Linked DNA regions of Coturnix japonica. The protein of the gene in region 1 interacts with the protein of each later gene in a biochemical or structural test. Links are inferred from orthologs where the notes say so. Each region holds a gene or a part of one and is shown on either strand. Other genes may lie near its edges.

Region 1 (7,782 bases):
TTAGTTGGAAATTCCCAAGCTGTCCATATTTAGTGTCCATAAGAGTAAATGTACAACAAGATCTGGTAAAGACCTGCTCTGTCCACCCTTTTTTAAGACATCACATCAAATTGGGGAAAGAAGCTTTTCCTACTGCTAGAGTAAACTAACCAATGCTAACCACTTCTTATTCCTTGTCACTGCTCACAGGGAACCTCACCAGCCAAAGCTGAACCAGGGACTATTTGTGAGGCAGCTACAGCGTGGTGAGATGCACATGAACCCTGGCAATGGGACAAAGGTATTTAATGATCCATCTTAATTGCAAGCAATTCTGAATGATGCTGAAGGCCTTTTGCTACACTTGACAGAAGTTGGCCATGTCTACATTTTTGCAGTACTTCTAAGTAAAGATAGATTGGTAATAGTTTTTTTTAATAATTCAAGATTGTTCTCAAACAACCTTTATGAATAAAGAACCGCATGGAGAAGAAGCCTGCTCCTTAACTGTTATACTGTTATATTTCTTGGTATTATTTCATAAACCTCAAGTGCTCTGTTTTGGAACTCTTATTTGCTCCCTTTTTGTTCCCAAGGTTTTGTGGCTTCAGAACCACAACATGCCTGAATGAAAGGGTGATTTCGATGCCAGTGTAACTTTCTTAGCAGAATTAGTTTAGTAAAAATCTACAAATGAACTGCAGTAAAATGTAAGAGCTCAATACTGGAAATGTTGAATTGATAAATTTCTCATGGTAAAACATTTCTGGTAATTCTCCAGTGCTAGAAAATAGTTTAAGATAGAGCTATTTGCAGGAATTAATAAGAATATTTTCATATGAACTGCTAGAGCACTGTACAGTGTAATGTTTACAAACATGTTTTGCACTGGACAAGATTAAGGGCTGGCAAGTCAGGAGATTTCCATTTAAATCTTTTCAATAATTCTGGATTACTCTATGAAAAGATCTGGCCCACTTAACCCATGTGATCAAATGCCAGCTTCCCAAATGACAAAGGAAATCTCATCAGGATAAGGATGCAAAAGACCAACTGCATTTGAGGCTGAGAAAAGTTTTGGGATGCATTTTGGTTGGTTTTCACTTCAGATCAAATGACAAACAGGCAGATGTTCATAGGAAATTTAAAAAAACAGGTCTTTATTGATATTATGTTCAAGACTTCCACAAAACAATAATTTATTTAATTCAAAAAAATTTGACTTATGAAAAAGATATGCCTTACTATGCTACATTTCCTGTAAGAAAATATAATCAATAAAGAGACAACTCAGCACACACCCGTTTTCTTAGATTTAAAAAAATAAAGTGTACATTAACTAGGAAAGGGGTGAATAACCCCATTTACCAGTTATTTACCAATCATTTACCAGTCTAATCAAATCATAAAAATTACTTTTTTGAGCTAGCTATCATATTTAAAAAGAATATAAAAAGTAGAAATATAAGCATCACTGACATAACTCCAAAATACAAAATCAAGACAATATTTTAACTAAAAAGGCACTTCTGGTTTCTGATTCAAGGAAGTATTTCTGGTCTTGGTGAAATTCCTCACGGATAGAAGTAAAATCTAAACGTGTATTTCTTACTGAAATACATAATTCTGTTGTTTCGGTGTTAAATTTTAATGTTTAATAACAAAAGTTAGACATTAACTTTTTGTGGGCTCAAAACTTATGAATCAACATGCAAGCATTCGTATTTCTGCAAGCAGAGAAACTGCACTACTACTGTGTTGGGCAGTTCTCAGCTGTCATTTACAAGGCAAAAATCTTCATAATGTTATTTTAATAAGGTATTATCTAATTAGTTTGCCCACTTTTAGAAAAACCAAAATGAAAATCTTTCTATTTGATACATTTCCATACCATTCAGCTGAATCACCTGCTAATAAAATTAACCTTATGCTAGAATGATAACTAAATTGACTTCCAGATTAAACACAGTGCATCCATTTTTCTTCATTAAGAGTGTTCTAAAATGGAAATAGATTTATTATACTAAGAAGTACCCTTTTAAATAGCTACAATGTCAGTTTCATCTCTGGACATATTGGTTGTATGATGGACTTTAGAAATTTCCAAGGAAGTTACAATACCATGAGATTGTAGTGAAAGAAAAGATGGAGTTTCCTTGATATGGTTTTTTCTTTACAGATTTTACATCCTGTTTTTTTGGAATAAACCTTTTGGGTCAGGTAACTGACTCTCAGAACATCTTCAACACCCATAAATCAAGACAGCTACACTAAGAGAAATCAAAATTATTTGTAATAGAATCATGGAGTTCTATGATTCTAATACAAATGAGAAATCAGCTCTAGGATTGATCCACAGCATTTAGATGGTCTTAAAAATATTGCATATTGTCCATTTGTCAGTTACCCCAGCTTATACAACATGTATATCTAGTATCAACATTTCTGTTATTACAAATTGTGTTACTGCAATTTATAATCAAATGTTCACCCCAAAATTTATCCTGATCTCACATTACTGGCTGTATTAAAATATGCTTTCAGAAGTAAAGTTCCTTAGTGAGCATAGAGACTACGCAAGGAATCTGCTTCTTCTCACTGAAGCGTGGATCATCAGACTGTGATTCAAAATTCGTGGCAACCACATAGTTGACCCGTGTGAGGATCTGCATGATCTCAAGTTGTTTTCCATGTTCATTGAGCACAGAGCACAAAGACTGCACAAACCAAGAGCCTCTTCCAGGATTCCTCCAGGAATAATAACCTTACAGGGAAGAGATTTAAAAAAAAAAAACGTTTTTTTTTCCCTCTTCCTTCTTATGACTTTGTGCTGAACAATGGAACATTAGAGAGAAGTGTAGGAGTTTGTGTGAAAGATTCTGGACAAGCAGTAACTGCACACAAAAACTTCAATTCTTGTTACTCCTGTCACAAATCTTGCTTCACTGACAAGGAAAATAACATGTATGACCTCTCCAACCTTCAGCATACTGAGGTAGCATTCTCTATTTTTTTCATAGAGCTTATTTTTGCAAAAGTTCATGGTATAGCCCATCCTTTTCTTGTATTTAAGTTCCACATAGTAACTAAACTAGCCTATCAAAGGCTGGTATCACCTTCCTCTGCCATCTGTAATGCCTGTGCTTTGTCATCTGCCAGATTTGGGCTTCCTCCCATTTCAGCTCTTGTAAAAGTAGTGGATGGAACAAAATGGCCAAGCATACACCATGCCTTAGCATTTTGTCCATCAGTGAGGGTCAGTCTAGGACACTAGTGGTTGTACTACTGCAGCTGTGATGCATAAGAGAAACAGCCAGTTCTATAAAGATAACATGTTTTATCGGAGTAACTATTATAGATGAAAAATGTTGATTGGCAACTGAAGATAGGATAAATTATTAAGCTTCTTGCCTCTACTACTCCCCCATTTATTTATTTATTTATTCATTTATTCATTTATTTATTTATTTATTTATTTATTTATTACCTGGCACTGTGGAATATGCAAACAGAAAATCTGCTTCTACTGGGATTTTGTATCTAGGATTGGCATCTGTTTCCAGAGTGTCATTTGCAGGTCCAGAGTCAGTTTGTATACCTTCATCAAACTCAGAGCCTCGGCACGCCTGAAACAGCAGTGAAGATGAAGACAACTTGACCAGTAAGGAGAAATGAAGTGTTTTATAAAGTTTTTTTATAAAATTTTTTAATGGATGCAATTTTTAGCAATACTTTGTATGAACGAGAGGCAATAAAGTAGAAAGCAAGGCTACTCAGGGAGACTAAAGAATTTAGCAGAATGCAGTAATTTGGAGACAGAGCCTTTATCCACTTTTGAAGCTACAGACAACCACATAAGTGCCATAACATTTTCCCCACTGCAGAAGAAGGATATAATATTTACCTGAATGAAAAACAATTTGGGTTTGCCTATAAGGCTTTTACATTTGTCTCCTCTGAAGAGTACAGTCAGGTGTTTGATAGCCATAGGTCCATCGGTGCCATAAATGAGGCCTTCTTCCCCATGGCTTAGAAGGATACAGGCAAAACAAGCAGCATCACTGTGATTCTCTTCAGCAGCTACAAATCAAATAATTTTTAGCCAAAAGGAGGCAACATTTTAAATGGAACATAATATTTATCAAACACATCTTTCTGAGACTAAATAAACACTGGGCCTCTACTGGAAGTTATAAAATGGAGTAGATAAATCCACTTATTAAGAATGTGATGAATACCTTGAATAAATGAACATAGAGTTCGACCTGCTTGATTCAATAAGCTGAACTCTTAACTACATGCAGTTATTTTAGTAGATTTGTCATCTACTGTGACAAGAAAACTATACATTTCTGAATTTACACAGGAGGAGGAAGAGTTGTGGGAATTAAGGATAATCTGTTCAGAAATTGAATCTTTCTCTAGAGAAAATTCCATTTCATGGGGCCTAAGCACTCTGTTCTAATCTGACCTGCTCTGTGCAGAGCATTGCTTAGGTGACCTCCAGAGGTCCTTTACACAATAGATTATTCTATTCTAAATTTTTACCTTGTTTCAGTAATGTTTTCATATCCTCACAGCTTCGGTCATTGTATGTGTGAACATCAAAACCTAAGCTTCTGAAACTCTTAGAGAGATCTCCAGCATCTTTATCAGTACCATTGCGTATACCCATTCCTACCAGAAAAGAAATAGTACAGTTGATTGCATGTTACATGACTTAAAATAATTTATATGTCCAAAGGCAACTTTTAGGTTCTTAACTTATTTACAATGAGACATGAGTTTAAAACAATCCTCTGACAATATCCTTGGCATTCTGAACAAACTGTGTTTTGTTTTAATGCAAAGTAATGCAAGGTCCAATGTGAACATGTATTTTATGCTGGAAAATGCTGGTTTATATCCAACATGGGACCTCTGTGGAAAATTCTATCTCCTTTTGGTTATGCAGAGTAACATATGCACAAAGCTCTTCAAGGAATAATTATTCAAAACAATTCCCCATGATACCCTAATAAAGAAAATTGACGTAAATTCTTTGGAATAAGCACTTCATTTAATTTGTAAGCCCAGCTTGTAGAGGGTAAAAAAAGTCTACAAAGTTGGCTATATCACAGATATCTGTCTGCTTCAAAACACTGTACACAATCTGGAACGTGCATCTGACATTGGATTGTGAACAGAGCACAGCAATTGTTATTGTAGTGCAACTATAGCTTTTAGGTGCAGCTCAGAGACAGAGAATTCATAACATGGGCTGCAGATACCAAAGTTCAGGTTTTAACAATGCAGACTTAAATTCTAGGACAGAAGTTGAGTTAAAAGTTGGCAGAACAAGCTGATGTACTTTTTTTAACCACCTACTGCAAAGGAGCTGTAAAGAGCTACTCTAATATAAGGATTAAAGAACAGGAACAAACAGTATGAACAACTGCTTATCAAATAAAGTGAATATAGTCATTAAAATTCCATGTCCTAAAAATAACAGGTTTATTGATTAATGAAAGTATCTGCAATAAGTGTCACTGAATCACAGAATCGAAGAATGGTTTAGGTTGGAAAGGACCTCTGGAGGTCGTGTGGTCCAACCTCCCTTCTCAAGTAAGACAAAGAACGTTACCTGTTTTGTCTTCAAAATTTTTGTTGTTTATAATTATACATTTGCCAACCTTCTTGTAGTTCATATTATACTGGAATGTGGGTGTAACAATTCGGTACTGGTTACTGAGGGTGGACTTTGGTTGTTCTTCTTCTCCATTCTTCTTTTTCCTGTGTGAATCAAATGAAAACACTGTTAATGACCTGTCATGTGAATGTGCTTATTTATTCTAACTCATACCATTGGGGCAGCACTACCTGATGTTTTTATTTCTCTTATATTTTTTTTTCTTTGTATTTCATACAGAGATGTAGAGATATTAACTCATGGCTTAAGTCTCATGATTTCCGTGCAGTATTTGGATACTGATGATGGTAAAATCACTCTTGAGTGAGCTGCAATCAACTGCAATGCGTACAGACCATGACCAAATATCAGGCTGGCAGCAGTCTTTTGCAAACTATGGTTCTAAATGTAAGTACTATTTTAATTTTACTGTAAGTGATTCATGTAAGCCCAGACAGATCTTCCTTAATGACTACTGCAAGCATTACAAGCAGATACAATTTACTATGTGGCATAATGGGATCTGTTTATTGAATCATCCCTAAATTCTCTGAAAGTGATAAAGAGCAGTAGGTATTTTGTACTGATAAAGGTTATAGATATTGACAGCTCATTTGTTAGCGTGGTTTGTCAATCGATAGTTTGAAGCTATGCTAAAAACTAAGTGCCATTCAGTGTGACGTCATCACTATCTCAACCTCATTATAAACAAACAAGAAAATCCTATAGACATTCTCCATTAGTATAACTGTGCAGTGATTTTTCTGCTTTGTGATGGAGTCTTAGATTGAATTAGAAAAAGATGGTGAGATACAGCATGGACTTTACCCAGAAATTTATTCTAAATTAAATACTATAGAATGAATCTGTGATAACCAGCATGCACATCTGAGGTACAAGCATGAGGAACTCAGCAGTGCTTGCTTTTAGAGGTGGACTTTTTTGTCCAGCCAAGTGATTTTTGACATTGAGATGATCTCTACAAGCAGAACTGAAGCCAGTGAAAGCCTTCAAAGGCTCTGATGAAACTTCAGAAATACAAGCAAGCCTTGGAGCAGGCCTGCTTAGAAACAATACTTGGGAAAGAGCAGAAGGTATCAGCATCTTGCTTCCAGTAGTACTCATTGCTGAAGTATAAGAGGAAAACATAACCTATTTTCTCAGCACAACTAGCAGTACTGCAACATTTTAACAAAATTAGATTTGTACCATTAATGTCAATGAAGTACTTTCACTGTTCCCACTTTGACATCTTTCTAGAAAATTACCAAGCTTTTTGCTTCACTAATAGTCCTCACAGATGAGATTGCTGTGGATTGATTAAATGTTGTTTAGGAAATGTACTTTCTTATCTTCCTGACTTAACAATTGTTGTTCTCTAGCAATTGTTGGAGTCTCCAAGTGTCCTATTTTTCATTACTAAAGGGCAAGACTAACTGGAAACCATAATAAAGCATCTCTAGATGATTCATCATGTTCAAATGCCATGGCAATTCAATTTTAAAACAGTTTCTTCTTATCTTTGAGTGTCCTCATGCTCTAAGTGACCAAATTAAATAGCTGCATCTGGCAGGCTTTCTCCATACTCTTTTTTCCCATCATCCTAATGTCATCTCCTCTCTTAGACTTTTAGAAACTGTGAAAGAAGATTTTGAATTATACCTACTTGAGGACTATATTTGATACTCCAAAAGTACATGGTTTTATTCTGGCAAATCACAAATATTGGTATTCTCCCTGCATACTGCTTCTTGAGGGCTCTGAGAGCAATAATTAAATATGCTTTGCCTCAAGAAAAGATTTTAACCATTTTAAAGAGTTATCCGCAGCTGCATGATGTTATGGATGCATGATGGGTTTCAAAGAGATCACAGATTCTTATTTTGGCCTAAAATTCCCCCTAGTCCAACATCACAAAGACAACTCTTGGGAAAAAAGAAAAGGGAAAAAGAAAATTCAAAACAAGAAGTGAGCACTCAGGTCAGTGAAGAGACTAATTTCCTCAGTCCATGCCCTATTCAAGTTTCTACAAATGTATCCACCTTCACTGACTTCCTGAATATGCTGTATGACTATCCGTGGATGTTACACATACTCAGATGTTTTCAAGGGACAAATGACACAAGGGACAATAG
Region 2 (6,766 bases), on another chromosome or scaffold:
CCCTGACAGCCTCTAATCCCTCTGGGTGGGGCTTTATAGGTGAAAGATGAGGAATCCTCAGCCAGCTGGGAAGTTGTATAAATACCAAGCTGGTAACAACTGTGATAGTAATCATATCAACAACTCACTAAAGGACCTCAGGAGGGTTTGTATATCTACAGACAAGCAACTCAGAAAGCAGGTCCACAGTACATCTCAGTTCTACTACTTGCCCCACACCTTGCTTGGTTGCTATGTTTGGTGCCTACCAAGAGCCACTAAGATAATGCTCTTTGGTCTCCTGTTTGTACCTGTATAAACCTCTCTGTGTATGATGGATTAAAAGGCTTTACAGTACAGTCTTCTCCTTGACTAGACTGGCACTCATGGTGGCCAAAAGCTTGTTTCCATTCTAGTTCAAAACAAAGTTATGTGCTACCAAAACAGACCAACATCTTCAGAGATGAGAAGCAAACTGCATAAAGGGAGTGAAGATGAGGGCTGCCTCTTCTTTTATTACTCCGCCCATGACTACAAAGATGGGTGTTGGTGGGATGGCAGTAGAGGCTGAACCTTCCCATCAATATCCCATTATATTTTGTTGCTGCGTGACAGATGGCAACAGGGGGGTAGTGTGACAAAAAATGCCTGACATGGAAGTGAGGATGAAGCAAAGGTGTGTCACTGAATTCCCCCATGCAGAAAGAAGTGCCCCCACTGACATTTATGGATGCTGGCTGAAACTTTTTGGAGGCACAGCAGTGAATGTGAGCACAGTGAGGCAGTGGGTGGTGCATTTCAGCAGTGGCAACAGCAGGTCACCTCTGCTGTATCCTTTAGCATCACTTGAGAGATAACACCCTCAATAATATGCTTTAACTTTTTGTTGACTCTGAAGTTGTCAGGCAACTGGACTTAATGGTCTCTGTAGGTCTTTCCAATGAGCCATTCCCTTCCATTCCATTCCCTTCCATCCCATCCCATCCCACTGGCTGGCCTCCAAGCAGCATGTGCAGTTCTGACAGCTGGCTCAGTGGCAGGGCTGGGGGCCAAGCATGGGTGCAGAGGTCAGGCCCAGGCATCCCAGCCCAGTTACAAGCTGTGACTCATCTGTTTGGACTCACTGCTCACTGCCAGCCTGCAGGGTTTCCCAAGGAAACATCACACACCATCTGCCACAGAAGAACTGTGGCAATAAGAGCCGCGCAGAGATTCCTGAGACATCACCAGTCAGCAAATTAACATGGTCTGTGTCATGTCAGTATGACACATGGCTTATGCCATAGCTGGCAAACTAAGAGACTTACTGCTGCAATTGCCAGCTATCAACTGTAGCATAAAGTTCAACTAAAAGAGAGAAGGTAACAAGAAGGCATTTCCTTGACAGAGGGAGGGAGCAAGGCGTCCAGCTCTGCAGGTTGAGGCCCCACCTGCCCAAGCAGACTGACGTCCCAGCAGCTTCAGTCTCTGCAGGCCTGGCTAGAGTGAGCTAGGACACTCACTGAGCAACGACAAGTTCAGGTTGGAAGCCAACAACTCTGGCTTTAACATTCATGAAATGAAGGTCCTCTAGGTCCAAGTTATGAGTGGAAATCATTGGGGAAGGCAGTAGTAAACCCTTACAGCCAGGGCTCTGGGGCAAGAATTGAATCAGAACAGTCTGCCCAAGGAGATCCAACCAGCTGACTGGACAATAAAAGCTGAGGCACTGGATGTGCCAGCAGAACGCAGAAGAACAGGCACTGCAGGTGCCAGAGCCAAACTGCCTCTAACACCAGGTCCTCACCCTATGGCCACTAAGGTTATTTGCTGGGACACAAAGCTGTGGCTTGAACATGTAATAAAAGGGCAAGGTAATAAAAGGGCAGCACACAACAAAACCCACACAACCACAGAGCTCCTGCAGCGTTTCTGACTTCATCATCAGCACTGCCCAAGCATTTAAATCAGAATCTGCAACCCAAATCAAAACTAAGCTGACCCCTTTGAGCCATCTCAGGTATCTCAGAACCCACTTATCTGAGCAGTCAGTGATGCTGCTTTGCTTGCAGCAATGAAAGGCTCAATGGGAACAACCTGAAAAAGCAGACTGAAACATGCTGCTGTCCATTATACACTTCACCTCTCCCATATCTGCCCTGAGTCCAACTTTCTCCAGCTGGCCAAGTATAATACAATAAAAATATCAAATGTTTTTACTATCCTGCTTTCCGAAATTAAGGCTTTGATACAGTGTTAAGTCAGCTGCTCTGTTTTGCATCCTGAGTTAAAGTAGTTGTTCTTTAAAGACATGTTGGGCACCAATCTCCAGGGCAACACATCAACATTACTCTTTTGTCAGATAACTGGGGACATTTGTTATTCTAGCAAACAGATCCTTTGTTTATAAGCACAAAATGTCTATTCCAGCTCTACCCCTTCGGATGTAAGAAAAAGAAAACATTCTCTCTAAAAAACAGTAAGTCAAGTCAAAGCCAGGGATAACAGCAGAGAAGAATCATGGAATCCATAGAATGGTTTGGGTTGGAAGGGACATTATAAATCATCCAGTTCCAAAACCCTGCCAGGACAGGGACACCTTCTACTATATCACTTTATCCAGAGTCCCATCCAATCTGGCGTTTAGCATCTCCAGGGATGGGGCATCCACAGCTTCTTTAGGCAAAAGAGGAAGAATGAGAAGGGGAATGTAAAGGCAGGATTCTACATGTGGTCAGTGTTTCTGTGAGGAGACCTGTGTACGTACTTTATGGAGCCAGAGGGGAATGTTCTCCAGGTTGTTGTAGGCTGGCTGCTTCTGCTGCACTGCTGCCCAGCAATAGGAATCCACGTAGGCAGCCTGGCGCCAGGAGAAGGAGCTGGGGGCAAAGCAGCTTATCTGGGCACCTGGAAAACAAAGCAGAAGGGATCACGCACTCAAAAAATGAAAGAAATCAAACCTAGAAGAAAAAGCTCACACTTGTGATTTTGCTGCATCCAATGCTATTACACTGAGAGAAGGAAGCAGAGCAGCTCTGAGAATCACCAAATTCCCACAGAACTGCACCCAGAACTCCCACTGGGACCCTCTGATGTCCCCTAAAGGTTGAGACAGACACTAGAAACATCTTCTAGATCTACTTTCATAATTCTGGGGGAAAGACTGCTACCTCCCAGATCCCTTATCCTCATACTGGCCAAAGGAGAGCCAACAGATGAAAAGTGTGAACAGATAAAGCTGGTTTCTCAAGGAAGCAGCTACCACAGCATAGCACCTCAATCCCACGTGCTCACCCCTCACATGTATTGAAAGAAAACCTCAAACATCACTACCCCAGCCCTGCAGTCTGTGCAGTAATGCAAAGGCAGGTGTGTCCCACACTTATTCTGCCTCTGAGCATGAGTTTTGACTTTGGGTTCAGGTCAGCCCTGCTGTAACTCCTGGCAGAGCAGGAGTGGCCCCCAGGCTCTTCCAAGGGTCTCCAGGTTCATTTTCATCAGCACAGGGTCATGCTTTGACCAAGGCCAGGTACAGCACAGCCATCTCCACTCACTCCCAGCACTTCTCCAGCTGCTCTGGCAATTGAATGTAAGATCGAGGCACTAAGTGGCAACAGGAACAGCCTCAGCCTTAGGGTTAAATTCTGCACTGACCAGCTTACAGGCAGCAGCTAAGTCTTCCTGAAACATATATCAAGGAGGAAGGGTGTTTAGTTGATATGTAGCATCAGTGGCCCCGTAGGTGAGAGCCAGTAACACAGCATGAGTGTTCTGTTTTCCCTTTGGAAGCTCTGACAGCCATAACAAAATGTAAAGTTTCCAGTGGGCTTCCCTAGATGCTGAAACACTACAGCTGTTTCACCAGATGATTACACAGAGTGGAGATGGCCCTTCCTTGAGGAACTCTATGCCAAGAACAGCCTCCGACGCTTCCTCCAACACAATATAAATGTCAAAAGAGCAAAACAGGGAAATACTGCTACTTTTTTCTTTCCTTTTCCCAAAGTTAGTGCTGGACGGCATCACTTTATGCTTTATGAGAGTATGTTTCTGTATAAGATTCTTGTGCCCCTTTGCTACTTTAGCCCCTAGAGAATAAGAACTGCTTCTGTAACAGAAGATGACTGCATTAGCCTTGTAACTTGTACAGCCTTTTTACAATGTAGCACAGTTTAGGGGCATTATAAATGAAAGCTTTTCCTTATGACTCACTATGGCAATTATTTCTGAGGCTGTAGTATCATAATGATGGGGTCTGATCTGTCACAAGCCTCCCTTATGGAAAACAAGTTGCTGTTTATCAGCCCAGAGCTCACGTGGTTTAACTAACTTGGCACAAGATGAGCTCCTGCACTCTCCCAAAGCTTCAGAAGTTCCTGCTTTGCAGAGAATCCCCATTATCTGTGAAAGAAATAGCCTGCAGAAGGATGCAACTGGAGTGTCTCTGTTCTTGATGGGGTCCATTTATGCCCTGCTTTCCCTAACAAACCCCCTGCTGCTGGCTGTGCCCTGAATGCAGCAGGAAACAAGTGGCCCTTTCATGGGGCAAGCAACAGAAGTGTTCAGCAAGATGCTTTGTCCTGGCTGTGTCTGTGCATCTGCAAGAAGAATGACATGCAATGTGTTCATTCTCATGAATGGGTGGGAAATCACTGAAAGTGAGAGAGCCCTTAAATCAGTGATACACAAGGCAGCCTCCAAGGTGGTGCAGGCACAGCTTCCTACCAGAGAAAGCGCAGCAATCCCAGGGCAGCAAGCTCAGCTCTTCAGATCCCCAGCACTTCAGCATGGACTTTGGAACCTTCAGACCTTCATCCAGCAGCCCAGAGACAGACAGCAGCAGGAGATGGGGACTCTCCAGTTACCACCCTGCTGTCTCATTAACTTAGTGCTGTCCTGTTAATGTAAGTACACCTTTGCACTAACCGTGGTGCAAAGAGATTACATCTTTGTGCATTATCTCCACTGCACACAGATTACTCAATGCATCTGAAAGTCATCATGATTTTACAGCCTTTTTTCCCTTCCTTCTCCCCTCCAAAGGGGCACAAAGGCACCCAGGCTGTGCCTCATCCCTCACCAAGGTGGGTACCAGCAGGAAGCACTGGTTTTGTCCCCAGCAGCCCAACACATCTCTTACCACCAAGGCATCTAATTAAGAAACTAAACTAAAAGAGAGTGCTACCAAGAATCAATGTTAACCACACACTGAAATGTTTTTCCTGAACTGAGGTCAGACGGTTTGCAGTTAAATAGATTCAGTGAGTAATTATTGCTTCCTACTGCACCGCAATCACTGGGAAGAGATTTGCAGAGGCTCAGATGAAAACCCAGCCATTAATTACTACCATAATGTCGAACTGGGAAAATGAACCAGCCATGATATTCAAATACCTGAGTTTATCCAGCAAGAATTAGCAACATTAGCAACCACAAACAGGAAAATCAAGCAGCGTGTACACAATGAACAGACTGCCAGGCACCATCCAACACACACTCTTCACACCAGTATTAAAACACAACAAACAACCTCACACTTAAAAATACAAGAAATGATGTTCTGATGCATGCCAAAGGAGAAGAAACTGGATGTGTGGGTGTGCATGCATGTATTAAGAGCAGACCAGAAGGAATGTGTTTATTAGATTTATAGATGCCTCCTATGGACCAAAGTGGCACCTGGGTGAAGGAGTCACTGTGTTCAAGAAGGAATCTTGGAGGGAGATACATGGAGACCAGGAAGGCCTTTAGTGTGACAAGTTTTGTTTAATAATGCGGAGAAAAAACACAATTTCAGACTGAAATTCCCACCAATGAGATACAAAGAAAGAGAAACATCTCAGAGCTGTTGCACGAACCTTTGTTCCACTGCTACTCTACTGCTACCCCAATCCTCCAGCAATATCAGAGGGCCACGGTGCTTTAAAACAAGTTCTGGTCCCCAAAACAGCTTTCCATCATTTCTGTAGGAAATGAAAGGCTGGTTCTGTAAAAGCTGAGCAGAAAAGATTCTCCTTGCTGACAGATGAAGATGTTCACCCAAAGACAATTTGGACTCGTCAATGAAGCAAATGTTGCTACAGGTTTGGGTTGGAAGCTCTTGGTGCTGGCCTGTCCCTGACAGCAGTAACTTCAGATCTACACTTGAGGGCTCTTCATGTGCCAAAGAGTAGCACGGCATGTGCTGCCATGGAAATGCCATGATCAGCAAATCGCTGGAACATCCAGGGTGACATGAGCCAGCAGTGAGTACCTGTGGCCTGGAAGACCCACTATATCCTGGGCTGCACCAACAGAGGCCAGCAGGGCAATGGAGATTGTTCCTCTCTACTCTGCTTTTCTGAGGCCCCATCTGGAGTATTGCACTGGCCCCAATACAAGAAGGATGTGAAGGTGTTGGAGCGGATCCAGAAGAGGCCACAGAGATGCCCAGAGAACTGGAGCACCTTCTCAGTGAAGAAAGGCTGAGGGAGCTGGGCTTGTTCAGCCTGGGGAAAAGAAGGTTTTGGGGAACCTACTGAAGCCTTCTGGTACCTGAAGGGATCCTATAAACAGGAGGGAGACCAACTTTTTGCACAGTCTGATAGTGATGGGACAAGGGGGAATGGCCCTCGTGGGTTTTGACCGGTGCCCAGAATTTTGTCACCAGCTGGAAAACCCAAGACGGTCACTGGGAACATTAATCCCATGGTATGCATGGCACAAGGTAGGGCCTCCCACCTATGGGCACCTCCAGCACAGCAAAGTAGGGGCAACCCGAGATCATTAGACACAATAATACTCATTCAATGCTACAAACTCTCATTTT

The links. The genes of interacting proteins can lie anywhere in the genome.
Region 2: of the proteins of CASP7 (region 1) and PANX1, one has a biochemical effect on the other in vitro, tested with the Homo sapiens proteins (2 studies listed by IntAct). The link is inferred for Coturnix japonica from reciprocal best matches to the Homo sapiens genes CASP7 and PANX1.

Annotation. Positions count from the first base shown.
Region 1 is NC_029521.1:24,418,607-24,426,388, reverse strand, and holds the end of CASP7 (caspase-7), read right to left. Parts: intron 6,056-7,782; exon of another isoform or gene 5,888-6,055; intron 5,752-5,887; coding exon 5,603-5,751; intron 4,657-5,602; coding exon 4,528-4,656; intron 4,060-4,527; coding exon 3,884-4,059; intron 3,641-3,883; exon of another isoform or gene 3,606-3,640; coding exon 3,467-3,605; intron 2,744-3,466; coding exon 2,520-2,743; 3' UTR 1,116-2,519; downstream 1-1,115. UniProt on the Homo sapiens protein: Thiol protease involved in different programmed cell death processes, such as apoptosis, pyroptosis or granzyme-mediated programmed cell death, by proteolytically cleaving target proteins.
Region 2 is NC_029516.1:166,061,501-166,068,266, forward strand, and holds part of PANX1 (pannexin-1), read right to left. Parts: intron 2,866-6,766; coding exon 2,726-2,865; intron 1-2,725. UniProt on the Homo sapiens protein: Ion channel involved in a variety of physiological functions such as blood pressure regulation, apoptotic cell clearance and oogenesis.